Sus scrofa: one gene and its partners. The protein of the gene in region 2 interacts with the protein of the main gene of each other region in a pairwise test. Links are inferred from orthologs where the notes say so. Each region holds a gene or a part of one and is shown on either strand. Other genes may lie near its edges.

Region 1 (11,197 bases), on a different chromosome or scaffold from region 2:
CTACAGGCTGAATTGGAGCTGCAGCTGCTGGCCTACACCACAGCTCATGGCAAGGCTGAATCCTTAACCCACTGCGAGAGGCCAGGGATAGAACCCACGTCCTCATGGATACTACTCGGGTTTGTTACTGCTGAGCCACCATGGAAACTCTTGGACTTCTGTTTATTTGTTTGTTTGTCTTTTGTCTTTTTAGGGCCACACCCACGGCATATGGAGGTTCCTAGGCTAGGGGTCGAATCAGAACTACAGCTGCCAGCCTACGCCACAGCCACAGCAACACAGGATCTGAGCCACGTCTGCGACCTAGACCACAGCTCACGGCAACGTCGGATCTTTAACTCACTGAGTGGGGCCAGGGATGAAACCCGCAACCTTATGGTTACTAGTCAGGTTCATTAACCACTGAGCCACATGGGAACTCCTGGACTTCTGGTTTTTACACTTGATCCTGAGTTGAGAGTTAGCCAATGCGAGTCTGTCATTTTTTTTTTGTCTTTTAGCAATTTGATGGCATTTAACATCTGACCAATTCCACAATCCTTTTAATTCCCAGTTCCCTCTCATATCTCAAATACTAGAGATGCACACAGGCAAAGCACCCCTGTATTCCCCAGGGTGAATCATGCTTGTGCGTGGGTATCAGCACCCCACTTACCCTTGTTGCTAATTTATGGTGAGTGATTCGATTTTAGAATCCCATTCAGGGGATCTGCGTCTTAGGACCACTTCAGATATCAATTTCTTTGTTTCTTTTTAGGGCCCTGTGGCATATGGAAGTTCCTGGGCTAGGGGCTGAATCAGAGCTGCGCTGCTGGTCTATGCCACAGTCATGCCAGATCCAAGCCACATCTGTAACCTACACTGGATCCTTAACCCACTGCATGAGGCTAAGGATCGAACCCACAGCCTCCCGGACACTGTGTTGAGTTCTTAATCTGCTGAGCCACAATGGGAACTCCCCAACTGTTTTTTTTTTAAGGGAGGGTTCCCCCCAGCAATAAAACCACAGTTGAAGATTTGAAGGCAAGCATTTATTTGAGGAATCGATGTTGGGAACTACCTGCACGTGGGTGGGAAGTGACACAGAGAAGGGAAGATGGTCAGTGAGGGATGTGCTATCAGGCAAATTCAGACTGTGGACAACTGGAGCTTAATCCTGCTGGGGACTCAGGGAGCCAGTCGTAGCGTAAGCCTCGGGGCCATCCCAACAGACGGCTGAGAAAACTGGGGCATTCGCCAATCAGCTAGGGATCAAATCAGAGCTGCAGCTGCAGCCTGTGCCACAGCCACAGCCATGTGGGATCCGAGGCTCGTCTGAGACCTACACCACAGTTCACCCAATTCTGCTGGGTTCTTAACCCACTGAGTGAGGCCAGAGATCAAACCCGAATCTTCATGGATATCACTTGCTCTGTCACCGCTGAGCCACAACAGGAACTCCCTCACCTGACATGGTTTAAAAACAGCAGAAAACGGAGGTGCTGCCTAAGGGCAAGACGACAATGAAATAAGTGATGGAAGAGGAAATTGTACATATCAGCTTCTGGAGACTCCATTGTGGCTCAGCCGTAACGAACCTGACTTGTATCCATGAGAATGCAGGTTCGATCCCTGGCCTTGCTCTGTGGGTTAAGGATCCAGTTTTGACGTGAGCTGTGGTGTAGGTTGCAGACACAGCTCAGATCCCACATTGCTGTGGCTGTGGTGGAGACTGGCAGCTACAGCTCTGATTCGACCCATAGTCTAGGAACTTCCATATGCTGTGGGAGCAGCCCTAAAAATAAATAAATAAATAATATATCTGCTTCTGACCAGTTACAGAAATAAGAATTGTAGAAGCTATGGGTTTTTTTTTTTTTTTTTGCTTGCTTGTTTTATACTATATACTCTGTGTGTATGTATAAATAATACATATGTATATAAATTCATGTCCCCTTTCTTCCTCTGCCTTAGCTTTTTTTTCTTCTTTTTTTCTTTTTCTTTCGTCTTTTTAGGGTCACACCACGATGTTCCCATGCTAGCAGTCCAATTGGAGCTGCAGCTGAGGCCTATGCCGCAAACCACAGCCACAGCCACGAGGGATCTGACCCAAGTCTGCAACCTACACCACAGCTCATGGTAACACCGGATCCTTAACCCACTGAGTAAGGCCAGGGATCGAACTTGCCTCCTCATGGATCCTAGTCGGGTTAGTTACCCTGAGCCACAAGGGGAACTCCTATTTCCCAGACTCTTTTACTGGCTTTCTGTTGAGGTCTGTGAATAGGAGACTCTAGAGGGAGATGGAGGGCAGGAGGAAGGGAGAAGGCACTTTTTTTTTTTTTTTTTTGGCTTTGTTCAGGGTCGCTCTGTCATTGGAAGTTGGCTCTAGCCTTTAGCTTCTTTCTGCCTTCAGAGAACCAGCTTCATAGCTGGCTTTTCTTTGTTTGTAGATGACACCAGGGGCAGCCCGCTGGGGGCGTCTGGGCCCCCACTTCTCTTTTGTGTCCTCAGCCCTCTTCCTGATGTCTTTCTTTTCTCTTCTTTCTTTCTTTTTTTTGCCATTTCTTGGCCTATGCCACAGCCACAGCAACAGCAATGCAGGATCCAAGCCGCGTCTGCAACCTATACCACAGCTCACGGCAACGCCTGATCGTTAACCCACTGAGCAAGGCCAGGGATTGAACCTGAACCTCATGGTTCCTAGTTGGATTCGTTAACCACTGCACCATGACAGGAACTCCTCTTTTCTTTTCTAATGGCCGCACCCAGTGGCATTTGAAATTTCCTGGGCCAGGGGTCAAATCTGAACCTCTGCAGGGACCCAAGCGACTGCAGTCAGGTTCTTAACCCACTCTGCTACAGTGGGAACTCCCCTTACTGCTTTCTTTAGTTACAAGCTCCACGAGTTGTCTCGTTGCCCCAGTGTCCTCTTTCTCTCCTTGCTCTTCCAACTCCTGTGTAATCAAATCCCCTCTACCCAAAATAGGTAATGTGGTTTTCATTTTTCTGACTAGGCCCTATCTGGTGCACAAAGTAACCCTTATGGTTAGAATAGATAAATTGTGGTATAGTCACACAGTGGAATAGTGTACTGGGGAAAATGAACCGCTCTAACCTAATACTGAAAGCAAATCACCAATGAATTCGTACAGAATGACTGCATTTTTTTTTTTTTTGGTCTTTTTTTTTTAAGGGCCGCACCCGCAGCACACAGAAGTTCCCAGACTAGAGGTTGAATGGGAGCTGCGGCTGCCAGCCAATGCCAGATACGAGCCCCGTCTGTGACCTACACCGTAGCTCATGGCAACGAGGATCCTTAACCCACTGAGCAAAGCCAGGGGTTGAACCCGCATCCTCATGCATACTAGTCAGGTTCCTTGCCACTGAATTACAATAGGAACTCCAAGATGACTCCATTTCTACAAAGTTTAAACACTGGTAACATTAAACCATATTTTTTATCGATGGACACATAGATGATGAAGTTACAAAGAAAAGCAAGGAAATGATTATCACAAACGTCTGGGTAGTGGTTACCTCCTATGGGGATGGATGAAGATGAGATCTGCGAGGAGCATAGTGGAGGTTCTGGGGTGTTTGCAATGTCCTATTTCTTTTTTTTCTTTTTTTGTCTTTTTGCCTTTCCTAGGGCCACTCCCGTGGCACATGGAGGTTCCCAGGCTAGGGGTCGAATTGAAGCTGTAGCCACCGGCCTACACCACAGCCACAGCAACACAGGACCTGAGCCATGTCTGCAACCCACACCGCAGCTCATGGCAACGCCGGACCCTTAACCCACTGAGCAAGGGCAGGGACCGAACCCGCAACCTCATGGTTCCTAGTGGGATTCGTTAACCGCTGCACCGCGATGGGAACGCCCTCAATGTCCTATTTCTTGATCATTGAGATTACATCCCAGGCTTGTGCTTTGGAAACATTCTTTAAGCTGCACACATGTGTTTTAGGTGCTCTTTTGGGCATCTGATATATCCTGCAATGAAAAACAAAAGAACAAACATTGTGATTGCCCCTGGGGATGGGTCTGGAGGCAGGAGGATGTTAAGAGGGGCTTCTAGAGATGAGGCAAGAGGGAAAAGGCAGAGAGGAGGGACAGAGAAGACTAACTCTGAGGTCCCAGAAGCCAAGAATTGAGCAGGAGATCCAGCCCCCAGGGAGACAGACCAAGGTTGGGGACCTTGGCAGGTCTTTCACCTCCTTCTCTGCGCTAGAAAAGGGTCCTTGCCTGCTGGTCGTAGTCAGATGTAGCTGCACATCTGAATCAACGCAGAGATACTGACCATCCACCAGCCAGCAGAGTAAATCCAGTGCATGGGCAGAGTTGGTGAATGGATATGAGCTGAGCCTGGGAATGGATGTTTCTGAGGCCAGATGGAGAAACTGAGTGAAGCCCTTGTTATCAACATGGAAAGGCGTTCTATGGGAGGTGGACATTTGAGTGGGTGAAAGAGAACAGGCTGAATAGAGGAATGGAGCAGATGCGAGTGGAGATGTGAAAGAGCGAAAGGTGGCAGGGAAGCCGGCCGGTGCCTCCATTTCCCCATCTTTCCCCAAAACATGCAACCAGCTTTTCTGGCCTTGCAAAGAGAGTTGATGGCACCCTGCAGCAATTCTGGTAGCCAAGGGGTTTAACCCTCAAGCCACCTGGGGGTGTGAGGACGTAGGACCCTGAGAAGGAGCAGTTGCCTTCCTACTACTTTGGGCACCAGCTCTGCGGCTGGGAACCTCCACAGAGCCCAGGCCCTTAGCTGCCAATCTGCTCCATTCACTGTCCAGAGGAGTCCCAGGCGCTGGGCTCCTACCGCATAGGCTGGATTCCCATCCCCCACCCTAGAAGCCGGCTGCTGCAGACAAGTCCACCCCCTCCCCCCCGGGCGCAGACAGTCACGCAGGCTCTCACTGCTCCTTGGTCTCTAGGATTGGTTCTGGCCTCGCTGGGAATGCCGACACTGAACGGGTGGGGGCCGAGGCTGAGACGAGAGTACAGGAGGTGAGGAGAAATCAGGGGGCGAAATCTGAGCTAGACCCCACTGATCGCAGATAAGAAACAAGGGGGTAGAGGGGTCGGAGCTCAGAGATGCGAAGCGTGGGGTACCGGGCTCTGATCACGGGGGTGGAGGACAAGCCAGATGCCCCTTTTCTTCCTTCCAAACGCTGCGTCTTCCGGGGACCCCCTTCAGTCCTCCCTGAGGCCCAGTGCTCTCCTCTCCCTCCCCGCCCCCAAATCCTGCACCCTCTGCGGATTGGTCCCCGGCCTGCCGGGGGGCGGGGCCCGAGGGCCCTGACGTCACCTGCCGAGGGGGGGCGGGAGGCTAGGGGAGGGGGGGGTGACGCGCCCCGGCTCAGCACCTCGGAGAGCTCCCTCCCCGGCCTTGTTTTGCTCCGGAATCGCCGCCTGGGGAGGGAGCCAGGGGGCCGGGCAACAGGCGCAGCGGCAAGAGGATGGCCTTGGAGGGGTCGAGGGGCCCCGGCGGGCAGAGGGCCCAGCCGTGATCTGTTGGGGGGGGCCGCGGCGCCGGGTGGGCAGCTGACGGCGGCAGCAGTGGCCACACATCTGGATGGAAGCGAGCTTTGTCCAGACCACCATGGCTCTGGGGTTGTCCTCCAAGAAAGCATCTTCCCGGAATGTGGCCGTGGAGCGTAGGAACCTGATCACCGTGTGCAGGTGGGCGCCGCCGCCGGGCGGGGGTGGGGTGGTCCGGGAGAGGCGTGGGGGTGGGCTGCCGAAACCCGGCCTGAGAGTGCCCGCGGGAGGATGGCTGCACAGCAGCCGCGGAGGAAAGGGAGGCAGCGCAAGGTTAAGAGAAGCGCATCCACTGTCCTCAGGGCCAGGCCTGGGGAGGTCTGATGCCTACCCCTCTAGGCCTAGCCAGGCCTCTGCTCAGCCTGCAGCCCGGGGGGTTAGGGGTGTTTAATTAGCACTGCAGCTTCCTGTAGAACCAGGAAGTGACATTGTGTGCGAGGGGGAGGGGTGAGGATGGCTGGCTCCCTTGCTGGGGGCGGGAGCTGGGTGGGCTGAGGAGAACCGAGGGGACAGGGGGTATCCCTCCGAGCATACCCTCACTCTCCCCGTCAGCCTGGCCTCTTTGGGGTGGGGCTTTCCGTGGAGATGCTGATGCTTAAATCTTGGAGCAGGGATGTACCTTCCTCCATGTCTGGGCAGCTGCAGCCTAGGGCAGGGTTAACTGGGCATGTAGGCAATGTCCCCGAATCAGTGCAGTGAAGAGTGTGGGGCACTAGCTCTGCTTTGGGAAGGACTGAGGGCCTGACCACAGAAGCCTGGGTCTCTTGGGTTGGCCGGGAGGAGGTTGGGAGGGCAGAGCCACTGGTCCCTGAGGGTGGGGCTGTCGCAGTGTTCAGAAGCCTTGCCCGCTTTCTTGAGGCTCAGGAAATGAACCTTCCCACTTCCCAGGCCTGCAGTGGTTCACCCTCCCGGCCCTGCCCTGAAGCCAGGAATGGCCAGTAGCTCAGCCCCTGTCCCTCGGCCCTCACCTGCCCTCATCTCTCCCCTTGGGTCCCCATGCCAGCTGCCTTCTCCATCTGCAACCTCCCCTCTCCCCTATGCCACCTCCAAGGGCAGGGTGCTCCCAGTGCAGAGCTCAGCTGTCTTCCCTGGCCAGCCCCACCTGCCTGCACACAGGCCTTGGCCCTGCTCTTTCCCCTAGGACTCAGTGCCCACCTGACGCCCAGGCTCCCATCTTCTACAGCTCCTTCCAGGGTTCTGGGCACACACGCAGCCACACTGCGTCTGTCTCACACCATCATATCCCTAGGGCCTAGCACAGTGCTGTGCACATCGGACCCCTGCAAAAACACCCAGAATATTGTAGCAGGAATGAGTGCAGCAATGGCCCAGCCCAAATGCAAACCTCTGCCTCTATGCTCACCCTCAAACCCTGTCGGCTGGTGTAAATAAAGATGGCCCTAGGTTCAAGCTCTTACTTTAACAGTTATTAGCTGTGCAAACTTGGGGAAGTCTCCTAACCACTCTGGGCCTTGGGCGCTTCATCCCCATTGTAACATTGTAACAGCCCCACCAAGGAATGGTAATGACAGAAAGCCCAGAGGAGCCTAGCCCCGTAGCCTCATGCCGAGGACATCCTTCCTGGCCCTCTCCTCTCTCTTCAACACCTAGGTTCCTCTCCTTTCTCTTGCCTGCCAGGACACCTGGGCCTCTTGAGGGTGTGGGGAAGCAGGGAACTCCCCTTGGCCTAGGCTGGAGAAGCAGAGGCTCTGGTGGATTGGAAGTGGGCTCAGAGCTGGGGTGTGAGGGATGGAGTTTTGCCGGGGGGGATCGGAAGCATGACAAAGGCTCAGAAACCTCTCAGGCCCCTGCTGCCTCATCCTTGTCATGTGGTTTGCCTCCAGCTCCCAGAACAGTTCCCTTTAGCAGGCCAAGGACTCCCCTGGGCCCTGGCTGCCCTGTCTCCATGGCAACCTGCAGCAGCCACTGCACCTCCTAACAGGGAACACACCACAGGGCTCCCGGGGGCGATGACCAGTTCTGCAGCACCCCTGAGGGCAGATGGCAGATGGCTGCCATGCTGAAACCGGCTGCAGGCCCCCACTGAGGTCTGACCCAAAAGACCAGAAGAAATCACGGGGGAGGGGCTGCACAATGAAGCCCAGATAATGCCTTAAACTCAGGCTTCCTCTGGCCATCCCGTTAAAGGCCCGGCTCCTCACCACCCCTGGCCAATGACCTGTACACTCACCTTCCAGATATGTCTTGGGATCTGAACCAAATTTTGATAAGACAAATACTATTATTCTTGTCTGCATTTGGGAAAATGGGCCTTGGAGAGATTAAATGACTTGTCCAAGGCCACATCGGTATCACAAGGACACAGGATTTGTTCACCCAGGCTGCCTCTCCCTAGTGCAACCCAGCACTGACCTGGCTCTGATCTCAGGCCAGACTAACTCCAAGCCCAAAGGGAAGGGAGGGAGGTCCTTGGGCTTAGTCCAAGAGCCCCAGAGGCCAGTGCTCAAGGGCTGGAGCCTGCTGAGTAGAGGACAGAGGTTGGAAGAGGGAGGGGCTGCTCAGGGGCCTCTACTGAGCAGCCACCAGGAGGCCACAGATGTAGCAGAAAGAGCGAGGGCTTTGGAATCAGCCCTACCTGTTGACTCTCCACAGGCTGCATGACTTTGAACAGATCACTCAAGCTCTTGGACCCTCAGCTACCGGGCCTGTAACATGGGGATGTGGGTGATAATGAGGAGACCTTCCTCCCAGGTCTGCCGTGGGGATGGATGAGATACCCAGGCAGAGTGCTTGGCACATTGCAGGGCTTGATGAGCTTAGAAAAAAAAGGGACAGTTCCAAGCAGCCCCTGCATCCCTGGATACCTCGCCCCTGCTGTGCCACCCACAGTGGGACAATAACGGGGCGTTGGGAGCCTCGTCCTCACCCCTGCCCCACCCCGCTGCAGCAATGGCAGGTGGTGACTGCAGGCGTGGGGACTGCAGAGGAGGCCGGAGCTCCAAGCAGGACTGGAAAGAGGGATGGGGGCTGCTGGGCTCCAGTCCCTCAGCCCCATGGGCGTCCCTTGGCTTCCTTCCTCGCTGAGAAGCCAGGTGTTCGGGCCCCCAAGCCCCTTCCAGAGATCTGCTGCCAGTGCCCCCTCCCACCCACTGTGTGTGTCAGACCCACACCCTGCATGTCCCTCTGCCTAGCTCCGCATCGCTTGGTTCTGGGCAGCTGGTGTGTGGGTGGCCGAGCTAGGAAGGAAAAGGGGGAAGGGGGGGCATCCGTGTGCTAGAAGCCCACCTGGCCGCCCAGGCATGCACACGCTCCATGTGCTCAGCGCCAACTCACATGCCCTGGCACAGGTGACCCCCAGCCCCACCCTGGAAGGGACTGGAGGTCATTCCAGCAGTAGCAGAAGACAGCTCAGGGCAGAGGCACAAAGCAGCTCCCGACTCCCACCCTTCTCTGACACTAGGGGAGTCACTACGGGAGGGGAGGCGGGGCAGCAAGGAGGAAGGGGCTTCATCTTTCGTGTCACCCCCTCATACCTTGTTCCCCAAGCCCCCTTTCTCTGCCTGTCACCTCTCCTGTCACCCACTGTGTCAGTCTCCCACCTGCCACCCTATTCTCCCATGTCACAGCACCTCCACGGTCACTCTATTGTCGCCTGCCTCCCGCCGTCTCTTCCGCTACCTCCCCACCACATCCATCCTGGGACCTCTTCTCTGCCCTTGCTTCCCTCTCTTTGCCTGATGCCTTTCTTCTACCCGCAGCCACCCTGTCTTCCCACCTGACACCCCACTGCCCCTTCTCCTTCCCCCTCGCCCAGGTTCTCTGTGAAAACCCTGCTGGAGAAGTACACGGCAGAGCCCATCGACGACTCATCCGAGGAGTTTGTGAATTTTGCAGCCATCTTAGAGCAGATCCTCAGCCACCGTTTCAAAGGTGGGCCCAGGTTCCTGTCTCCCACTGCCCAGCCCTCCCAACTCCCAACCTTTAGCTTCCAGCCACCCTACTCTGTGGCTTTCTGAACCCCATCCTTGACCCTGGCTCCAATTCTGGACCATGCACAGAAGCTCGTCCACAGAGCTGGGAAGAGGGGAGGGGTCCTCTGGGCACAAAACGGTGGGTGCCCACAAGCCCCATCAGTGGGCATGCAATTATGGGCTGGTGTGCCCTGTGTGTACATGCATGTGTGTGCACGTATGTTTGGGGGAGGTGCTACGGGTGTGCATGGCTGCTTGTGCTTACGCATGTGTGTGCCCCAGTACATGGACCCTCTCCAAACTCCCTGGTCTTGCTGAGCCCCTTCCCTGCCCTGGCTCAGCCTGTGCCCCAGCAGGTCCGGTGAGCTGGTTCAGCTCAGATGGGCAGCGGGGCTTCTGGGACTACATCCGGCTGGCCTGCAGCAAAGTGCCCAACAACTGCGTGAGCAGCATCGAGAACATGGAGAACATCAGCACAGCCCGAGCCAAGGTGAGCCGTCGGTAGAGGGCGGAGCCAGGGCAGCTGCTTCCTGCTCTGGGTACAGGGGGCAGCCTGCTCCTTGGTCCTCGCCCCTGCCCACGGTGCCAAGTGGTGCACGGGTCCTTTTGGGGCAGCAAGTAAGATGGTAAGCCTTCTTTCCAGGGCCGGGCATGGATCCGAGTGGCACTGATGGAGAAGCGCATGTCGGAATACATCACCACAGCCCTGCGGGACACCCGGACCACCAGGTCAGATCACCCCCCCCGGCCCCCCGCCGCCACCTCTGGCAGTGTGGACCACAAGTCCCAGTGGGCACATGCATTGCCTAAACGCATGTGATCCTTAAGTTCCTGCTGCACCCTTTAGCACCTGGACTACAACTCCCAGCATGCACTGCTAGTTTCCCTCTCTCAGACTGTCTACCAGTCCGATGGGTCTCCCGTCCCAGAACACGACTTTAGCACCACCACCCTCTCTTCCAAGTCAAATTCATTATCTTCCATGACTGCCTAGCACGGGTCTCAGACGCAGCTCTACCCTTAGACACAGCCGGGGACAAGCCTCAGCCATGTATCGTTTCTCTTGCTGGCCGTGTTCCACGACCTCTAACACACAGCCCTATCTGCTTCCCAAACGATAACAGCAGTCTGTGCTTGCGACCCATGGACTACAGAGTCCCGGTGTCCAGAGCTTCAATCCTTGCGCTGAGGGTTTGCAGAGAGCGCGGGTCTGGGGGGGCAGGGTCACAGGGAAGATGTGTCCGTGGGGAAGGTGCGTTTGAAGCCGTCTGAGTACAGCACAGGCACGGACCTACCCACCGCCCCCTCCCCCAGGTGGCCACACTCAAACTGCTGTTTTTACTGCATTGTAGGTCTAGCCTGCCCTCGCATTTCAGAGTTCACATCAGCATGTTTTTGAGCACTGACTGTATGCAAGCACGTTTTAGAACTTGTTTCCTGATTTTAAGGATCTGGGTGACCCAGTGCTTGATGGGGAAGGGGTAGTTCAGAGGGTGGAGCTCTATTCTCGGGGGACGCTTGTTCTAGTAGGTGGGAGACCCAGGCACTGTCCCCAGCGGGTCCCAGTCTGAGGGGGAGACAAATCCTCAGCTGAGTGAACAGGAAAGAGATACCTCCTTCCTCTAGGAGAGTCTGTAATGAGCCAAGAGAAGCCTTGAGGCTTCGTGGGAGGTGCTCCACCATCGGCCCCTTCCCCCCTCCCTACAGACGTTTCTATGACTCGGGAGCCATCATGCTGCGG
Region 2 (10,063 bases):
GGGAGGCCCAAGCAGATTTTCAAGCTGAGGTTTTTCACTTCCCCCTCAGGTAGGTTTGCCAAGCATCCTGTATATTATAAAAAACAAATCCTGTATGTCTTTGTGCTGTGTTTTTGTCTCCTCAGATATCACAAGGAAGTAAGGTCTGAAGAGAATAATCGCAGTTGGGCAGAGAGGAATTCCATACTCCATCAGGAGGCAAGGTAAGAAAGCAGCATGAGCAGTGAGGGAACAACCCACCTTAGAAGAGAGAATATCCCCAGAGTCAAGGCTCTGCTCTAGACCTTGGTAAGACCCAGACAGAGGTGACCATATGAGATGTCTCCTCACTTCCTCATAGGGGTCTCAGAGAGATGAAGGCCTCAACTTGAAGGAAGATGGTCTCAGGTCAATAGAGTTAGTGTCCCAGGAACTTTTATGAGTCATGGTGAGGACCCTGAGTGGAGACTGAGGGGCACCCACTCTAGAACAGGGGCACCCAGTAGAGCCCGTTCTGCCTGCCCTACTGTGAGCCCTAGGAAGTCTCCAACTGGGTTGGCTTTCTGTGCTGTGAAATAACTTCCCAGTTCCTTTTTCAAGTAATTATGGAACAAACAGGACAGGTCATAGAACACTGCCCTTAGGGAAAGTCTGGTAGAGATGGCCTAAGTCATAGCAAACAAAATTGAGTTTACCACTTATATCTTCCTCCTCTTCCTTAGCCTGTGGTGCCCCATTGCTATGCCTCCTACCCACACTCCCGCCTACTGGTACCAACAAGAGGGACCATGCTGCAGTATCAGAAGCATTGGTGCTGCACACAAGAGCAGTGCTTTCAGGCTCACAGGGAGACCCAAAGACCCAAAGCCAGGAGTGTTCACAGGCACCTTATCAAGGATATCAGTTGAGAACTCCAGTGGTCACTCCAGAGGAACAAAGTCAGAGAACCCTACAGCTTTGCCAGACACTAAGAAGTTGCCCAAACACCCTCTAGACTAGAAAGCGGTTTTGCTAGTGAGTTTCCTGGTGCTCAGTTATCAAATGAAAGAGCCCATCAGACATTGTGAATAATGTCTAAAAAATAAGGAACCCTTCACTTCCTGAGATCCTTAGGTGAGCCTCCAAGCATGTGGGGCTGCTCTTTGGGGTTGATGTGAAGGAACTGGACCACTCCTATGCTCTTGTCAGAAAATTAGACCTAACCTTAGCTGAGAAGCTGAGTTATGTAAAGGGCATGCAGAAGATCAACCTCCTGGTGACATTTCTGAGCCTGATATTCATAAAGGGCAACTGGATCACTGAGGAGATAGTCTGAAAAAAGCAGAATATAATGGGGAGAGGCACTTCATCTTTGGGGATCCCATGAAGCTCATTACCAGGGATCGGTACAGTTAAAGTAACAGGAGTACCAGCAGGTGCACCACAGCAATGTTCCACACTGTAAGTTGTCATGGGGTCCAAGAGCCCAGGCTGAAACCAAAGGTCCTGGAGTTTTGGGCCAAGGTCCGAGATACCATCCCCACTGCCTTCCTGTGCCATTATTAAGAGGCTTTGAGAGATGAGAGAGAGCCAAAGCCAGCGCTGCAGCCAGAGTGTGTTTCAGGGCCATGGCCATCAGCTTCCTCTATGGGTAGTGAAGGCTACGGGTGCTCCTCCACTTTGTTTTTGAAGTGGGAAGTCAGTGTTCTGAATAGTAGAGGGTCAGAGTAGGAATAAAGGTGGACAGTGTATGGCTTTTTGTCTTCCTGTTCAATATGGGTAACTCATAGCTTTATTGGTATTTATCAAATGTCCCTTTAAATAGATTTATTTAGCTTTAGAATCTAAGCTATTGAATTCCATGAGTCCCACATTTCTTGGTGTTCATCAGGTTTAAGAACAAGAGTTTTCACATTAAGGAGTTCCCTTCATGGCTCAGTAGTTTACGAACCCAACTAGGATCTATGAGGATGTGGGTTCGATCCCTGGCCTCGCTCAGTGGGTTGAGGATCCGGTGTTGCCATGAGCTGTGGTGTAGGTCGCAGAAGCAGCTCGGATCTGGTGTTGCTGTGGCTGTGGCTGGCAGCTGTAGCTCCAATTCGACCCATAGCCTGGGAACTTCCATGTGCCTCAAGTGAGGCCCTAAAATAGCAGGAAAAAAAAAAAAAGAGTTTTGATATTTAGTAAAACACAAATCCCTGAATTTTTTCCTGCAAACTACAGGAAAGATAATATAGCATTAGAATACGTATTTTCCTGGAATGTGAAAGAATCTTGTATTAAAATAGTTGGGATCATGGAAAAAAGAAAAAATAAAAAGGTAAGAGGTGGTTATCTCTTGGTTTGCCTTACTCCTTTTAGTCTTCATTTTTGTAACATAGAGATATGTACCTGGATTTACTTGGCTTATTCAAGACTATAAGATAAATTAATTGTAATACTTTAGACTACTTGTTTACCAGCTCTTTAATTCCCCCAATATTAATTAAACATCTCCTCTTTGGAAGGTTCCATACTTGTACTGAGGACAAAAAGAAAAAAATAAATAAAAAAGATCAAGCCACTGCCCATAAACTCTAAGTTGTTAGGTGCAGCTTTCATATAAAAAGATATTGCTGTTATCTCTCAGATCTAAAGGACAGGCAAAAGAGAAGAGGTTCCAGAAGAGAGTTTCAGCAAGAAAGGCAGTGTTAGGCCTTAGAAAACTACACGTCCTTCATTGGGAGGTTAATTTTAAGTTAACTGCGTGGTGGACTGGAGGAGGTTGTGATCATCATGAGCAGGGCCCAGATTCTCAGATGGTGGGTCCTTCAGGTGAAAGACTAGACCTGGAATAGGAGACTGCTCTTACCAGTTATTTTGGGATTGTAAGCAGAGAAAAATCCCCTGTGGGAGGGATGAAACATGTCCTGTTCTCTTGTCCCAGCACAGGTGAATAATATGCCAATTACATGTTTTGTTCACATTGTCTCCAGGAATTTTCTGAGAAATAAGAGTGATTTTCCCTTGAAGCAAGATGATAAGAAGCCACTGGGCACCCTCTGTACTGGCCTGAGAGGGTCAGAGGCCTCTCCATCAAAGGGGCATTCAAATTAAGTTATCGTGTAGAATTTGACAAACTCTATATGGGTTATAGGTTTGGGGTAATGATTAAATTACTGAAAGCAAGGGTGATTGAGATGAAAAGGCTGCTCATAAGGAGGGAAGCTGTCGATCCTTGACACAAATTTAGGGGGTTTGTGGTGCATCTAACTGGGGAAGTGTACCTTATACCATACTGAACAATTTATCAGGCATTATAGAAATATTTAATTTTTCTTGCTAATCAGAATTTTGGTTGATTGGGGTTTTACTTATTCTAGGATGCTACATATTTTCTGACTTATGCTGGAGCTAAAAACAAAAACATAAACACGCCCAGCAGGGAGGGTGGTATCATCCGGGTCCAAATTAATCAGAGTAATAAATGCCATGCTGAAGTCTCAGTACAGCCCAGTCACTGTGCCAGACACTTAACACGTATTAACCACATTCCACTAGCTCTACAAGACAGAGGTTACCAAACCCACCTTGCATATGTAGAGCCTAATGCTCACAGAGTTCCATAATGTGGCCAAGCTCATATGGCTCATAAGGGACAGGTTTGAAGCTAGACTCCAGGTCTCTTTTAGTCAAGAGCCCACATTGTTCCAATTTTCCCAGCCTGAGGCCCACTTTGTGTTTCTTATATTCAATTTTCCTCTTCTTAAAAATGCATCTCAGGCAGTAAAAGAAAAAAAAAACTATGCTTACACTATTGGCTTGGAATACATTCCCAGAGCAATATGAATACCAAAATAAATGCCAGGCATGAATAAAAAAAGGAAAGCTAATACTCAGCGACAATATGATCATCTACCCATGCAGTGTCAGATAACCTAAAAAGATCAGGGGCTCACAAAATCATCCTGGACAGCCCCTTCCCCGTAAAATATAAATCTGTCAGAACAGAATTTACATGAGACTCTAAGTCTGGCTGGTGAAGAGAAGGAAAATAGCAGCATATTTTATCCCCTGACAGCACACCACCTGTCTGGAACTCCTGCCTTAGGCTTCAGTTTCCCCACCTCACATCACTCCTAAAACAGGGACCAAGGTGTGTAGGGGGGAAACTGCTCAGGTGTTTGTAGGGGTGAGACATTTCCCAGGAATCCTTTAGTTCGAGAGGCAGGAACCGACAAGAGGACCTCAGTGTTATCAGACTTGGGAGACCAACGCCCCAGAATGTAGGGGACCATACATAAACAGGTATTTAGACTTAGAAGGCCCCAGATAGAGCTGTCAGGCTGAGCACCCCGCACTTATTCTTCAGGCTTCGCAGGGACTTAAGACCTTGGCCTACAAACAGTAAAGGGAGGTCAGTAGAAGGAGTCGCAGTCTTTGATGGCGATGAAGACGAGGACCCTGAATAAGGAATGACAGAAGGACCAGCCCAAGTAGCAGGCCTCCATAAAGTCTGGCCAAGGCTATCAGCCCTTAGACGTTCAGAACAGTCCCGGCTGGATGTGGCTCATCCTTCCAGTTGGAGGTCTCCAGAAGGTGAGTACCTTGATTTGATGGGAGCAGCCTCAGGTCAACAGAGGGCAGAGTCTCTCAAGTGGTCAGTTATCTGAATAAGACCTGAGGGAACCAGTCACCTCTGAGAGGAGCTCCACAAATGCCCCCAATGCTGTCAACCCTGATATGCCCAGGACAGATATTTGAGATAAAGCCACCCCCTCAATCTCCCTGAAGAGTGTCATGGAGGTGACAACCCTGGACTAGTGGAACAGCCACAAATCTGCAAAGAAAAAACCTAGGGCTTAGCAAGAGCCAAGGAAAGGACCCTGAGTGTTATGAGGGGACCCCCCCCCAAAGCAGAGGGTGCCAAATGGAGTTCTCCACTGTTCTTAGCCCCAGAGGACCAGGAGAGCTCAGCTGAGTTGTCCCCTCCTTCCACCTGTGCAATCTTGGGGAGGGAAGGGCCCCATCTAGCAGGATCAGACCTCAGTTCTTCATGGCAGACAGAGGTAGGTGCAGTAGGGTGGAGGGTAGTCTTGGCCATAACCAGAGTTAAGGTGGGGAGCTCAGTGCTAACAAGAGGACTCTGTCCTAAAGAGGGAGACTCATAGTCTTGCCCTCCCATCAGGAGGAGGTGCTCAGAGCAGCGCCCCTGGCTTCCCCACTAAAAACTTGGGGCGGCGAGGGCTTTGTTTGGGAGCTGGAGGACTCGGTGTTTAAAGGGAGGAATTCCCCAGCCCTGATAGATGGCACCGGGATGATGGCTGACCTAAAGGACAGAGTTCTGCAGAGCCCCGCCCCCACCCCTGCCGTCAGATCTGGGAGACCCTGCAGGGCCGGATGTGCTCCCCCCACTTCCGCTCGGGAGGCAAGGCGATCCGCCTGTGGACGCTGCGTTTGTGCGGCCCAAGTTGTTTTTCCAGGACTGGTCAGGAGCCAAGGTAAGGACCTGAGTGTCCCCTGAAGGGATTGTCTCTCCTCGCACCCACCCCCACCCCACCTAGGTGACTCAACCACACCCTGCCTTTGCGATCTGCCTTAGGGAGGCCCCAGCACAGCTATTAGAATTTGGCCTGGAATGTTTCCATGCCGCCAAGAGAAGGCCTTGGTCTATGGGAGTTGCCCTGATCTTACAGATGGAGGAGATCTGGGTCCTAGATGAGGGCCCAGAGTGCTAATGTTAAGACCTCTTCCCCCAAAGGGAGCCACGCTGAGCCACACCTCTGTCCTCAGCTCTAGGAGGGCCGAGGCAAGGTAGACAGATGTAGAGTGACTTAAATTCCCCTCTAGTGACTAAGGGAATTGTGGGCTACACCTGGTAATCACAAACTCACCAGTGGAGGCCCCGGGCAGAGATGGCAGCTCTGGTGCCCCCTCATTACCTCTGGAGTTGGTCTCAGGGAGGTGAGAGCCTTGGTCTGTTGGATTAAGCCCACTTCAGCACAGGGGTCCAGTCCCCAACAGGATGCAGGGTTGTGACACTGAGTGAGGTTGGGAGGCCCCTCCCAGAAAAAATGGGGCCATATAAAGCACCAGCCCTGTTTTCAGGCTTGGGTGAATTGGACATTTTGACGTGGGTTGCACTCAGTCCTTCTCAGGACATCCCAGGGAGGTGAGAGGACAGGTCACAGGGAGCAACCTCATATCAGTGAGGGAGGATTTCAGGTTATGCTGGGTGTCTTGGTGAGAACCTTGAGGACTGTGGGAATGTCCCACAGTGCACCATTTGAACTACAAAAAATCTTCTCTCCTGTCCTTGGGAGACCTCAAGGATAGATGTCAGGCATAAGTGCCTGTCAGGTCCCATTATGCGCTAACAGAGAAGTGAGGGTCTTCATCTGATGAGAGTTGTCCCAGGTCAGCAGAGGGGGAAATCCGAGACCCCATCATGAGTCAGATTTGGACCTTGAGTTGGGATCTTGTGCGGGATCACAAGGACATCAGCCTTCCTGTAACAGCTTTCATTCTTGGGAGACCACGTTTGGGAAGATAAGATTATCTTCACTTCTCTGTTGGGAAACAGGGAGGCTAGGTCTTACTGTCACATAGGCATCAGTTTAAGAAAAAGTGGAGCTTCTCTACCAGGAGCCCAATTGTGGTACCTGAGTGAGGACTCAAGGGACCATGTGTCCCTGAATAGAGAGGACATGAAAGCATCCACCCTAACCCCTTGATTTCAGCCCAAGAAATCTCAGGGAAGGGCTGTAAGGTTGAGCATCCCCTTCACTTCTTTATATCAAGTCTAAGGGAGATGCAATCCATAGTGTGAAGGTGTAGCAACCAGTCAGCAAATGGAGAGTGATGCTGAGCCTTATAATGAGCAAAGGTGAGGACTTCAAAGGGTGATCCCAATGAACTCAGGACTGAAAGGATCTCTTGAGTGCTCAGCACTGGGTTTTCTCTGGCAGGAAAGCAGACTAAGGCACCCTTCATGTCCTTCTCCTGGATCTCAGGGAGCTTTGAAATATAACCTTCAGAGTAGTTGAGGGGAAGATTTCCAGGCTCTGCCCAGAATTGATCTGATAATCCTGAATATGAACTAAGAGGAACCTGAATACAGAGGGCACTACTGCCAGCCCCTGCTGTCACCTGAGTAAATCCAAGGCAGGGCTGATAGGAGCAGAGTAAATCTCAATCTAAGCCCTCTGTGGTTTCTCTATGGGGATGGGCTGACCAGAAAAACAGGAGCCTGTGAGTTCCTAGAGACATGCACTCAGGGACCTGCAGAGGTAGCCTTTGATAAAGCCAAGGTGGAATCTCCCTATTTCAAGGGATTCACATCAACTCATTCTCCTCTTCCAGGTTCTCAAATCACCTGCCCATTGGCCTGTACTCCTGTTTGCTGTCACTGACCACAGCCATCATGCCTCGTGGTCAGAAGAGTAAGCTCCGTGCTCGTGAGAAACGCCGCCGCAACCGAGGTGAGACCCAAGGTCTTAATGCTCAGGCCACTACAGCAGGGGAAGAAGAGACCACTTCCTCCTCCTCTCCTGCTCCTGGAGATGCTCCTTCAAGCTCCTCTGTTGCTGGCACTCCTCATGGGCCTCAGAAAGCCCCAGCCACGACCAGTGCTGCTGCAGGTGTGACACGCTCAAGATCTGAAGTAGGTGCCAAGGGCCAAGTTGAGGAAAGTAAAAATTCCACCCAGGCCTCAACTTCCAGTGAGAGCTCTCACAAAGATCCTCTAACCAGGAAGGTGGGGATGTTGGTGCAGTTCATGCTCTTTAAGTATAAAATGAAGGATCCCATTAAAAAGGCAGAAATGCTGAAGATTATCAACAAAAGGTATAGGGAGCATTTCCCTGAGATTTTCAGGAGAGCCTCTGAGCGCATGGAGCTGGTCTTTGGCCTAAAGTTGAAGGAAGTCAAACCCAACAGTCATTCCTATATCTTTGTCAGCAACCTAGATCTCCCCAACGATGAGAGTCCAGGTGGTAGCTGGGGCTTTCCTAAGAATGGGCTTCTGATGCCCCTCCTGGGTGTGATCTTCTTGAATGGCAACCGTGCCTCTGAGGAGGAGATCTGGGAATTCCTGAATATTTTGGGTGTCTATGATGGAAGGAAGCACTTCATCTTCGGGGAGCCCAGGAAGCTCATCACTGAAGATTTGGTGCAGGAAAAGTACCTGGAGTACCGCCAGGTGCCTGACAGTGATCCTCCTTGCTATGAGTTCTTATGGGGCCCCAAAGCCCGCGCTGAAACCAGCAAAATGAAAGTCCTGGAGTTTTTGGCCAAGGTCAATGATACAGTCCCCAGTGCCTTCCCACCCCATTATGAAGAGGCTTTGAGAGATGAGGAAGAGAGGGCCCAAGCCAGAGCTGCAGCCAGGGCTGGCACTGGTGCCATGGCCAGTGCACGCTCCAGAGCCACATCCAACCACTCTTCTCGCCCCTATTGAAGTCTGAGGCCAATTCTTCACTTTGTGGTTGGAAAAGGCTGTTAACCAGTGTTCCTTTTATGCATAAATAACTTGTTGACTTTTGGGTTTTTTTTTTTTTTTGCATTTTTCAGTTGGTGTTCCTTTCAACAGAAAGTTTATTTAGGTTTAGAATATAAGTATATGAATGACATGGATCATACACTTATTGCTGATTGCCAGATTTAGGAGTAAGAGTTTTGTTTTTTGAAATACAAATTGGAAATCTTTAAATCACTTTTGTGATCCAGAACAAGATAGCATTGCTTTGGGAAAGGAATATCCTTGGAAATGTAAAAGAACTCCGCAGTAAAATAGTTTGGATAAGAAGATAGATAGATAGATAGATAGATAGATAGATAGATAGATAGATAGATAGATAGATAGATAGAGTAAAAGTTGGTCAGGTCTTGGTGTTCTTTACTCCGTTTAGTCTTTGTTTAAAAATGTAAAAGATATATACCCAGATTTGCTTATGTTTTTCCAGAATGTTGGAAAATATAAATCACAGCAAATGACTTGTTCATGACTCTTATTTTACACAAACATTACCTGAGCATCTGCTCTTAAGAAGTCTTCATGCTTGTACTGGGAATGTTTAGTCAAAAACAAAAAAACAAAAACCCAACCCCTGCCCATGCAATTAGAGTTTCTTAGAGAAGCTGTCATTGTGGAAGAGGGTGAGATACTCTCTACTTTAAGAAGAAAAATGAAAGGCAAGGGTAAAGAGAGGGTGGAGAGAACATGTAACTTAATTTTCTAAGTAATTGCTAAGCAGAATTCAGGCTGGTGGGGAAGGTTTTGGGGCTCGAAAGCTGCATATCTCTGACATCTCTTAGATATATAAAAAAAAAAGTTCCACCTGGATGGATAGTAACATCTGAGGTCGAGATAATCATAGCAATAACTGCCGTTCCCTAATATCTCAATACAAGAAAGGCAGAGTGACAGATGCTTTGCATACATTACATATATTCCACCAGTCCTATAAGACAGGGCTTAGCAAACTCACTTAACAGTAGAAAGCCTGAGGCTCACAGAGTTCAAGTTTGGTGATGTGCCAAACTTCCTAGGATTAGCAGATGGCAGGGCTGGGACTAGACTCCTGGTCTGAATTATTGCCGAGCTCACTCTGTCCTACCCCTCCCAACTTGTGACACACCCTGTGTCTCTTATTTCAGTTTTTTTCTCAGTACTTCTAAATTTGTCTTAGGTGATCCAAGGAATGGCCTTGTGCTCAAACTACCAGATTGGGATACATAGCCAGAGCAAAAATATTTGAGAGTTACAAATAAATACATAAAAGGGACAATATTCGGTGACAGTATAGTCACCTACATTTGTGGTGTTAGATAACCACCGAAGACCAGGGGCTCTCAAAACCATCCTTACAGTCTCTTCCCTATAGAAAGTAAATCTACCAGAACACACATTACCTGGGAAACTTCATCTGGAAGATGAAGAGAAAATATAGATCCATGTACTGTTTCTTCCATGACAGGCCACCACCTGGACTGGTAATCCTCCTTTGTGCTACAACTTCCCCAGGTCACATTACTCCTGGGACAGGGATCCATTCTTTGCAAGGTTTGAAGAGAAAAACCTGCTCAAGAGTTTGCAGAGGTGAACTTTCCCAAGAAGCCTTTATTC
Region 3 (10,946 bases), on a different chromosome or scaffold from region 2:
TATTCCCTCAGAGAACTGCTTTCACCACATCTCATAGGCTTTATATAGTTGTGTTTTCATTGACATCTGTCTCAACATATTTTTTAATTTCCTCTTTGACTTCATTATTGACCCATTGTTCATTTGTTGGCCACACCTTTGGCACATAGAAGTTCCTGGCTCAGAAATTGAACCCTTGCCACAGCAGTTATCTGAGCTGCTTCAATGACAACACCAGATCCTTAACCCACTAGGCCACAAAGGAACTCTGACCCATTGGTTTTTTAGTAGCATGTTGTTTAGTCTCCATGTAGTCATTTTTTTCTCCTTTCTTTTTCTGTGGTTGAATTCTAGTTTGATGCCATTGTGGTCAGAAAAGATGCTTAAGATAATTTTTATATTCAAACATTTGTTGAGGCTTGTTTTGTGTTTTAACGTATAGTCAGTCCTTGAAAATGTTCCATGTGCACTTGAAAAGAATGTGTATTCTGTTTTTTATTTTTTTGGATATAATGTCCTAAAAAATATCAATTAATTCTAGCTGTTCCATCATTTAGGATGTGTTCTATCATTTGGATGTAATGTCCTGAAAATATCTATTGTCTAGCTATTCAGAGATTATTTAGGATCTCTGTTGCCTTATTGATATTCTTTCTAGAAGATTTGTCCATTGATGTGAGTGTGGTGTTAAAATCTCCTACTGTTACTGTCTGTATTCCTGTCAATTTCTCCCTTTAGGTCCATTCATATTTGTTTTATGTATTTGGGTGCTCCTATATTCACTGCATATATGTTGATGAGTGTAAAAATCTTCTTGTATTGATCCTTTTATTTTTATATAGTATCCTTCTTTATCTGTCTTTATGGCCTTTGTTTTGAAGTCTATTTTGTCTGGTATGAGTATTGTAATGCCTCCTTTCTTGTCGTTTTTGTTTGCATAAACCGTGAATAACTTGAAATGGAGAAAGAAGAGAATGTAGGCTCCTTCTCTGTGTCAGCTAAGGGAGTATCTCTCTGCAATCATGACAAACATCTACCTCTGTTCTGTTTTATCATTTTCCCTAAAATTGCTTAATATTTCTGTAAGAGTAACAAAAGGGACATGAAGCAAGGAGGTAAAAGGAAGAGTCTTAATAAATTTGGGAGAGTTAGATGTTTGCTTTAATCTTTGGATACTTTATCTACCTTTCCTTAACACTCTTAATCCCATGCTCCAGCCCCCTTAAGAATAATTGCTCAAGTTATTCTTGGTCACTTGGTTTTTTGTTTGTTTGTTTGTTTGTTTTTGTTTTTTGGTTTTTTTTTTTTTGCTTTTATTCTGAATACAAGAAAATAGTACAGATCTTCCTCAACTTAGAGTGGGATTGAATCCAGATTAACATATCATAAATTGAAAATATAAAAAGTCAAAATGTGTTCAATACACCTAACCATCATAGCTTAGCCTAGCCTACCTTAAACATTCTCAGAACATTTACATTAGCCTATGTTTGAGCTCAGTTATCTAACACAGAGCTTATTTTACAATAAAGTGTTAAATATCTGCTCTGAAAGTGAAAAACAGAATAGTTGTATGGGTACGGAAAGGTTTTACCTATATGGGTATCACATTTCTGCCTGGGAGCTGTGTTTTAGTAGATACTGCCCAGCAACACAAGAGCCATATCACACTGCATGTTGCTAGCCAGGGAAAAGATCAAAATTCAGAATTTGAAGTATAGTTCATACTGAATGTTTATTGCTTTTGAACCATAGTAATCAAAAAATAATTTAAGTCGAACCATGGTAAATCAAGGACCATCTGTGTACAAAAAATGTTTAATGTTTAATCGGGATGTCCAATAGTGATAAAATAGGTAATAAACTAAGCAAAACTGATTGTCATTTCAGAATCATTTCCTAAAACATCTTGAGCAAAATTTGTTGAGGGCTTAACAAAACTCTTTTAAAAAGCCTCTAAGTAGGTCAGTGAATAATTATAAACTATCTATGGGCCTAGAACCCAAAGGAATCAAGTTTGAACTTAACTTCTTTTAATCTTCAGTTGGATTTTCTAAGGATGTTTCTCTCTTAACTTTCAAATATAGAAATGAAAATAATGGTTCCTTCCAGTGAGACGGATTGTTTTCGACCATATAGTAAATTTAAATTTCTATCATGTTTCCCTTCATTAAATGTCCTAATGTATATTTGGTGTAGAACTGGATTCATACTTGGTGAGGTATTTATTCCAGTATATATGCACTTAAATGGGAAAAAATAAGTCATGAGAAACATTCAGCAACTAAAAACTATAAAATTTGTCCAAATACTTAATAACAGATTAAGTTAAACAAGAGTTAGAAAACATGTTGCTGCTTGTCAAAACAGAAATTAATCCTCTCATTTACTTATTCCTAAGCCACTGTCGAAATTTCAATTCTTTTTTATTTTTCAGTCTTCTCTTTGAAAAGAAATTAAGTAAAAAGTAAATAGGTAATCATAATCAAAGATCTTATTCTCATTAACATCTTGCAGGACCACTAATTTTGATTCTTTTCTGCATGAGTTACCACAATGCAAATTGTGGAGAGTGAAGAGTAAACACAAGAGAAAAAAAAAAAAATTAAAGGACAAAAGAGCAAGGGAGAGCCCAGACACAAATGGGTTAAAAAAAGAAGAAGAAAGGAAAAAGAAGACTCCAAGATGATGTTGCTTTTCTAGTATCTGAAAGTGATTGCTGGGATGCTAAGAAAAAAAAAAGAAAGAAAGAAAAAGGAAGTGTGCTTACCTGTTAGAAATAGGCGGTTTCTCTGGGAGCTGTCCAATGTACTAACTGAACCATCATAGTCACAACTTACCTCTTTAATAGAAATTGATGTCCTAGGCGATTTTCCCTTGAACCAAGATGTTTCTATACTCATCTTTTTAGGCTGTTTCTTCTAATACATATTTAAAATGATTTTTCTAATATATTGTTTTGCCACATGGTGTCTTCTTGAAAATCCTTACACTCAATAATTAAATAAATATAAGTACTGGCAAACAAAGAAGGAAAAATGAACCCTTCTTTGTTAAAAAAAAATATATATATATATGAAGTTATGTGAAATCAGCAAAAGAAATTTTATTTTTGCTATCCTAAATTTAAAATATTTTTTCATATCAAAGGTGATCTAAAGATAGCCAAAATCTCTCTTAACTAGAATTAATAAAGAATATTTTCCTCTCAAATCTTATAAGGTGGTACAATGAGGAAACAAACCAGATGCAAGTGTCAGGAGTTTTCTTTGTTCACAAATATCAATCAGCAATTTAAAATTTGAAAGGCTTCTCAACAGAGGAATGAGCTGGTGGACCAATTGGCTTCTGAAAGGGTGAATCACAGTTTTGAAAAGGAGATTGAAGTTGTTTTGTTTAGGGGAGGGTTTGCTTTGCCTCCCACACTGGGATTATACAGTGAATCATGCTGGGAGAAAATGTTCTGAGCTTCTCCTTTTCATTTTACTGCCATCATAACTTTGCCCTCTAAATAAATTCCTTTACATAGGTAGGAGTTAAAGGTAAGGAAAGGAAAGCCAAGTATCTTAATTGTTAGATTGATTACAACAAAACAGATTTTAGAAGTTGGGGTTTGTAATGCAGCGGGAGAGCTGTTTATGATGCAGTGGAAAGAGAAAGCCGGTTCCAACAGCGACTCTGGGGAATGCACTCTCCTCTCCCCTACAGTGCTTACTTAAGCTAATGGAAGATCTTTCCTTTCAGTAGCTGCTGCACCGGGATACCAGACAAACAGCTCCCCTTGACCCCTGGCAGACAGGGCCCCTCTTCAGGACATCATTAAAAGCACATGCACTTGTTTCACACCCAGCGGCAGCCTAGGGTGGCAAGATTCAGAGCTCACACTCTGAAGCCAAGGAGAAGCCAGAGCGGTGGAAAACATCCTTGCTTTGAAAACCCAAAGATAAATTAAAGAACTACATGAGATAAGGAGCCTGAAGAATATTAGTTGGCTGGGGGGATGTGGAGAGACACAAAAAGCACAGCAGGTAAGAGCTGGGGTTGTTGCCAAGAAGGAACTGTCTCAGGTGATGCAGTGAAAGGGATCTCAGAATTGGAGGCCTGTCCCTTTGAGTCTTCTGTGCGTGCTCAAGCTTGTCTTCTTCCATCAGTTTCCAGAGGAGAGGAGGGATGTTGTCAGAGCCTACCCTATCTGTGCAACTAATCCTGTTATCAGCTTGGTTATAAATATTAATGTCCCTTGGCCCTTCTCTGATGCTGCTGCTTCAGATTTTAGGCTCTTAGGAAGCCCTTCATCAGTCTTGCCTTTACCTTGGAGAAACCGATGAGACGCAGGGCCAAGCCAAGCCGACCAGATGGCAGCCTATCCCCAGAGCTGCGTGGACGCCACCGTGCTGGACTTCGTCGCAGACCTGTCCCTAGCCTCTCCGGGGCACCCTCTCCTCTGCGACTTCGCACCGGGGGTCCCCTATGCGGACCACCAAGACCTTGTGCTCCAAGAGGGAAGAGCCAGAAGTTTACCGCGTTTTGAGGAGGAGGATCCAGAAGAGGAGGGGGAAGTAGAAGAGGGCGAAGACGAGGAGGTAGAGGAGGCCGGGAGAGGCGCCTCCCTGCTGGGTCGCCCTAAGAGGAAAAGGGTGATCACCTACGCCCAGCGCCAAGCCGCCAACATCCGCGAGAGGAAGCGAATGTTCAACCTCAACGAGGCCTTCGACCAGCTGCGGAGGAAGGTACCCACGTTTGCTTACGAGAAAAGGCTGTCCCGAATCGAGACCCTTCGCCTGGCCATCGTCTACATTTCCTTCATGACTGAGCTCTTAGAGAGCTTTGAGAAAAAGGAAACCGGCTGAGCTAGTGTGGAATGGAAGTGTCTGCCCCCTCTTCACTGGGCGCGCGGGCATGGGGTGTTTCGCGACCGGCAGTGGGTGTGGCTGAAAGGCCAGGGAGAAAGCTCCAAGACCTAACAAAAGTCTGGCCTTCTGGAGCTTGTTTTGCGATGATAAAATCCCCACAGCCCTTGAGAAGCTTGGAGGCCGTGGAGTTAATGCAGACGCGATTGCTCTGAATGGAGTCTGGGGCGGGAGCGGGCGGGGCATATTAAGGTAGTTAAGGAGTTGGGGCGGTCCTCAGCCCGCGCCCAGGAGCAGTCTATATCAAGTGGGTGGGAAGTTAATCCTCTCTGCAGTTCAGCGGTCTCTGTGAGTCTGATCTCTCCGAGTGTGTGTGTGTGTGTGTGTGTGTGTGTAAAAGAAACTTTTTTTTTTGCCTCAGAGTCGGTGCTGAGCCAAGTCAGGCAGGCACGCCGCTCCGGACTATGCTTTTTAGATAAGTCCTGGAGCAGAAACTCGCGAGAAATTGCGGGTTATGGGGTTCTCTGAGAGGCCAAGGGGTGCCAAGTCTATCGTCCGATCCTCTTAGGGTTGTCAGGAGGCAGAAAGAAGGGACTGAAAAAGGAAAAGGAGTCAAAGCGATGAAATATCTCTAACACAGAACACCATTCTGCCTTCTCTTCCTCTCCACCTTCTCCCTTACCCTCCCCCTCAGGCTCAAAACTTCAACCCAGTCCCTGTCCCTCCAGTAGCCCGACGCCCGAACCTGAGGTGACGGGGAGGAGGAGGGGACAGCCCTTTCTCACGCACTGGGAGCGCACCTAGACTCGCGGGGTATCTTAGATGCTCTGAACCTTTGCTGCCTGAGGATGCTTCCCCTGTTTCCTACCCAGGGAAAAGGACCGGGTCGTCCCAGGAGCTGCGCCACCTGAGCGCGCACGAAAAATTTTAGGGGTGCGTAGAGAAAGATAGCTTTTATTCTAGTTGCATCTAGGGACAGGGAAGAAAAAAGTCAGAAGAGGAGATGCATTCCACCGCTTTGCCAAAATGTGTATGATGGAGATGAGGTTTGAAATAGAACCATGCTGAGGATCTGCCTCCAGTTTGGCGGATCTGCCATTCCACAATTCTTCCTTTGGGGGAACCTGCTAACACCTAGACTGGGGTCCTTCAGGTAGGAGTTGGTAAGTGAGGAGGGAAACTGAAATGAATAGTGCCCACCTAACTTTAAAGTCAGTAATCCTAAAAATAAACCCTGTTGTCTCAACACTTTATTTTGCTCCTCACTTCGCACATCCTTGCACTCGGCGATTCGCCTATCATACTTTTAGAAATATGATTCATTTTATTAAGAAGTAATATATACTAATCCTTAAAAGTTTGGAAAATAAAATTTTAAAAAGAAATAAAATTTAAATCACTTCATATTACTACACATCAGTTTTATCTATTTCCTTCTAGTCTTTTTTTATACAGATATAAATTCAATGTGTTTAACACATTTGGGATAGTTTTGGAATTTATCCACTCAGCACTATAGAATGAGAACTTTCCCCTTGATGTTAAATATCATGCGAACATAATTTTGATTACTGTGTTTTATTGTCACATCCATATATTACATCTAACTCCAGTCCTTTACAGATAGCTAAGATATTTTCTTTAAAAAAAAAAAAGTAATAATGCGAGGAACATTCTTATAAATGTCTTCTCTGCCTATAATTTCCTGATATTAGGTAGCCGGAAGTGAAATTTCTGCGTCAAATGAACATTTAAGTTTGTGGCTACAAATGGCCGGATTGCCTTCCAAGTAGATCTGCCAGTTCACACTCCCTCTTACTATTATTGCAGGATCTACTTGTCTCTAAGATTCCTTCATGTAAAACTTTTCCTAGTTTTTCTATCTATAGGAACTGATAGTTCTGAAATGATTACTCTCTCAAAGATGATGTCTTACTTGACTGTATCTTTTCACCAGGATTGTTTCACCTCTGTCATAAGAACAAGATATACAAGTAAGAGAAAAAAAATGTAACCAACTAAACCAAACAACAACAAAACCAGGGAGTGTTTTGGGGTTTTTTTTGTTTTGTTTTGTTTTTAATTCTCTAGCATCTTTACTAAAAGTGAAAAATGGACAATAACCTCTATATCCATTTTATAAAATTACTTATTTTCTCTTCTTTTGCTAGACAACTTTTTGGCTGCTCAGACCACTTACCTGTATTTTAAGAAACAAATTTAAAATTACTCTTTTCAGTATGTCAAAGAAAAATAATTATTTCTCAACTTGTCATCGAACAACATTTTGCTCCCCAATATCTCATGTAGTGCTAGTGGATACATTGGTCCCTTATTTTATCCAGTTATTTATTTATTCAATTAAAATGTGTTGACATTTTACATATAATGTGAAAGGGTGCAGAATTGAAAGAGCTTGCAGAAGAAGCTCCCTTCCTTCTCCTACTCTAAGTCCTCATGAGAAGTAAACATTTTTTAAAGACTCTTCAAGTGATTTTTTCTTAAAAGATTTAACTTTAGGAATCCTTAATAGTTTCTTGAAAGAATCCATTTGGAAAATAAGAAATTTTAAAAAAATGCGTAGAAAAAGGGTCTCAAAATCAATGAGTCCTGAAGAGTAAACACAACTGTCCATCATCCTTAATCTTCATATTCTGAACCATTGTTATATTCATAGTAAGCTTACAATATCGTACAGTGAATATTTCTTCAGTATAGTAAATAATACCCCCAAAACATCTAAATAAAAAGATTTCCCATTATTATTAGAATTATGTCCACAATTCTTAAAATTATGAGAGCTCATAAATGCTTTGTTCTTTGTGATTTTTAGTATGTTTAGAAGCTACTCCAAAATGAAAAGTCTCTTAAGGCTTTTTCTTAATTATTGTACTAATAGAATAATTTGAAGCCAAATAAGTTTCAGAAATATAGAGAAGTGGATTGACTTATTCCTTATACCAAATCATCCGTAGAGATAACGCAAAATCATCTGCATTTCGAACATGAATCCATACTCCTCCATATCTTGCATTCAACTTCTCTAAGCAGCATGATAGTTTTAGTTTTCCCCATGTTAGATCCATAAATCAGTGCACTTTTTAATGTAAGTATTTTTAGTATATAACACACCCTATGTTAGAATTGTCTTATTCTTTATCTTCTAAACCAGCATTGATAAAAATATCAGTAGACACTGGTTTTCCAGTACCTCCCAGTAATTAAAAAAAAAATCCTAGCGGTATCAATTACTCCTGGAAAATTGTAATAATTGGTTTTTGAAATCTTAAAGTTATTTGGACATTTGGAATGTAAATACCATTTTAGATGTTGCTTGGAGGCGATTTATTTATATACTCTTTACTGACTGAAAACTGCCTTTTGGTCTCAAACTAAGTTCCCCATAACTATCAGGTTACTATTAGTATTCAGACATATAAACCAAAAAAAAAAAAAAAGATCTAAGTGAAATCATATTTGAAAGACATAATCAGGCTTTCCAAGGAAAGTAAAAATAATCAAAAGCCTTTGCCATCAACAGGCAGCCATTCAGACTGATCATCTTTTACAGCTGTCCAATGTGAAAGCAGATTTTGGCACTGGAAACTGAACCAAATATTGTGCTAGTATGCATATTTCCTGCATGAACTTACAATTAAGACCATAGAATTGGTGTTTATTATTGCATTTGTCAGCATTTCCATTATAAAAACACTATTGTGGAAGGTTTATAACAGCTACAGAAATTCTGAGATGAAACTTGATAAGCACAGTTTAGCATAACTTTTTTTTGAATTACAAATCCTCAAAGAAAATTTCAAAGTTAATGAAAACACTTAGGCCCACTTCACATGTGAGGTTCCCAAATGTACAAGAACAGTGCTGTAACCCCTGAGCTACAGAGGATGTACCTACAACTTTTAAACACTATATTTTGTATTAAATGTAACATCTATTTAATACAAAATATAAATTAGATTATTTTTGTTTAGATTTATTTTTGTCAAAAATAGCTGGCAGATTAATATTGAACTTTAAGTACTAAATCCTTTTATTGGGTGATATTACTTGATTAAATTATAGTTTAAATGTGTTAGAAAAGTGTTGACATTTTGGTATATACCTATGTCTTGGCACAAGTTCACTCAAAGGTTTCTGAACTTTGCCAACATCTTGGATGAAGTTAGACCCAGTTTCTGGTCAGTGCCCTCTCTTCCTGTGAATGCTGAACTAAAAAAGGCTACAAAACAAGAGTCAGCAGTTCTGACCATTTTGTTTTGACTTTGGGGTTTCTTTGAATCCAAAGCTCAAAACCAAACCTGGCGAAGGAGGAGAGGGAAAGGAAAGAAGCAATGCAAACTGACAGGAATAAAATGCCAGAAAGATGGAAAATTTTCTTTATTTCTCTATAAACCAAAGCCTATAAATTTCCACAACTTTTTCTATGATAGCAAATTTTATTTATGTGCCTAAAACACATTTGATAAAGAAGTATAAGGGAATGCAAAGAATGTATTTTAAAATACTCTTTATGGCTAATATTGGGTAGAATTCCACTCAATTTTGCAGAAGACAAAAGAACTTTTAATATTCAGTGAAGTCAAGAGTTTGGCAAATATGCTGGAAATTATCCTAATAAAATGTAACAATTATGATAATAAAATGGTTACTGCATTATTGTTTTCAAAGCACCCTTCCCATACTTTCTCTCATTTGACAAGTGAAAGGATTTCAACAAGATCTAGAGGCTCCCAATTAAATTGAGTCAATCAGTGTACCATCGTAAAAACTCATTCATTCATTGAAATCAGCATGATACTGAGATTCCTAAAAAGGACCAATGATCACATATAAGCAGCATATTTCTTTAAAAGATATTGCCTTCAAAGATCAAAAGCACCTTAACACACTCCAGGATGATAAAGTATTCAAAAAGGTTGGTACAGTCTGGCTCCCTCAAAGACCAAATTTTACAACCTCCTATTTAGGGCTCTGTGAAGGAGATTTCCACCTGCAGCCAGAAAATGTAGATGACCTCAAAGCAGCTGTTATGGACAGCTTTTTATGATTTCCAGTCTTCAAAAGGGAAGAAAATATCTATGAGACTATGGAAATGGATCAAACAGCTGGTGATTAATAGCAAATAACAATATCATATAAACATACATGAATGATCAATGTTATTATACAGTTATTTTACTGAAGATAACTTTGTAACTTCAAAACTTCACAATTTTATTTTTGTTACTGGTCAGATCTTGAACTGATTGACTATATTTAGTCCTAGAATTTTGCGAAATGCTGCCTATTTTTAATCTCATAGTTTAGTGAAATGTTGGAGAAACCAGAAGTGGTCTAAAGAATAACAACAAAATAATTGGATTATTAGGTCTGGATGAAGTAATAATGCCTATAATAATAAGTAATGTCTATAATTATCTACTGTATTGCTTATTTACATAATAGCACATGTTGATAACTATTAAAGTTCTCAAAATAGTTTTAGGGTATAGACACTATTATTATCTTCTTAGTGATGAAGACATTTTGGAATAAAGTAGGTAAATAACTTCCTCAAACTTATCAGTTAAAAAATAGTGAAGCCAAGATTTATGCCCTGTCAAGTATTTCAGAGACCAAATTCTCAGGGTCTAAGGTTATTTATGAATGATTGTGCGATTGTTATATATAAGTAGAAATAATGTGGTAAAAATGAGTAACTACTTTTTATCTTTACTGATGATCAGAAATGTAGGCATAGGATATAGTCTCTGCAAGAGAACTGGGAAGGTGGACTATTGGTGAAAGTTTTTGAAGAGGCCCTGAATGAATCTTCCATGGGTCTTCTAAAACCACAGATTTCCTCAGGTAGTTTCAGTGCAGTCCTTTCAGAAGAGAAAAATCTCTTGATGAATGTAATAGTTATAAACACAAGCTTTGAAATTTGACAGAGGTGGGTTTGAATCCCAAGTACATGGCATAGTGCTGTGAAAGCTAGTAAACTTAACTAGCCTTGTTGACCCTCAATTTCTTCATCTTTAAAATAAAGATAATCATGGACTTGGAGAATAGACTTGTTGCCAAGGGGGAGGGGGGGTGGATTGGGAGCTTGGGGTT

The links.
Region 1: the proteins of melanoma-associated antigen B4-like (region 2) and RUNDC3A interact in binary tests that used the Homo sapiens proteins (3 or more experiments, as listed by UniProt). The two-hybrid records come from large-scale screens. The link is inferred for Sus scrofa from reciprocal best matches to the Homo sapiens genes MAGEB4 and RUNDC3A.
Region 3: the proteins of melanoma-associated antigen B4-like (region 2) and FERD3L interact in binary tests that used the Homo sapiens proteins (3 or more experiments, as listed by UniProt). The two-hybrid records come from large-scale screens. The link is inferred for Sus scrofa from reciprocal best matches to the Homo sapiens genes MAGEB4 and FERD3L.

What each region holds. Positions count from the first base shown.
Region 1 is NC_010454.4:18,923,875-18,935,071, reverse strand, and holds the start of RUNDC3A (RUN domain-containing protein 3A), read left to right. Parts: upstream 1-5,346; 5' UTR 5,347-5,558; coding exon of another isoform or gene 5,559-5,665; intron 5,666-9,299; coding exon of another isoform or gene 9,300-9,415; 5' UTR 9,416-9,535; coding exon 9,536-9,946; intron 9,947-10,099; coding exon 10,100-10,185; intron 10,186-11,163; coding exon 11,164-11,197. UniProt on the Homo sapiens protein: May act as an effector of RAP2A in neuronal cells.
Region 2 is NC_010461.5:26,021,292-26,031,354, forward strand, and holds the end of melanoma-associated antigen B4-like, read left to right. Parts: intron 1-125; 5' UTR 126-203; intron 204-4,309; 5' UTR 4,310-4,536; intron 4,537-5,234; 5' UTR 5,235-5,337; coding exon 5,338-5,438; intron 5,439-7,299; coding exon 7,300-8,395; 3' UTR 8,396-8,912; downstream 8,913-10,063.
Region 3 is NC_010451.4:88,315,766-88,326,711, reverse strand, and holds FERD3L (fer3-like protein), read left to right. Parts: upstream 1-3,490; 5' UTR 3,491-4,334; coding exon 4,335-4,829; 3' UTR 4,830-10,359; downstream 10,360-10,946. UniProt on the Homo sapiens protein: Transcription factor that binds to the E-box and functions as inhibitor of transcription. DNA binding requires dimerization with an E protein. Inhibits transcription activation by ASCL1/MASH1 by sequestering E proteins.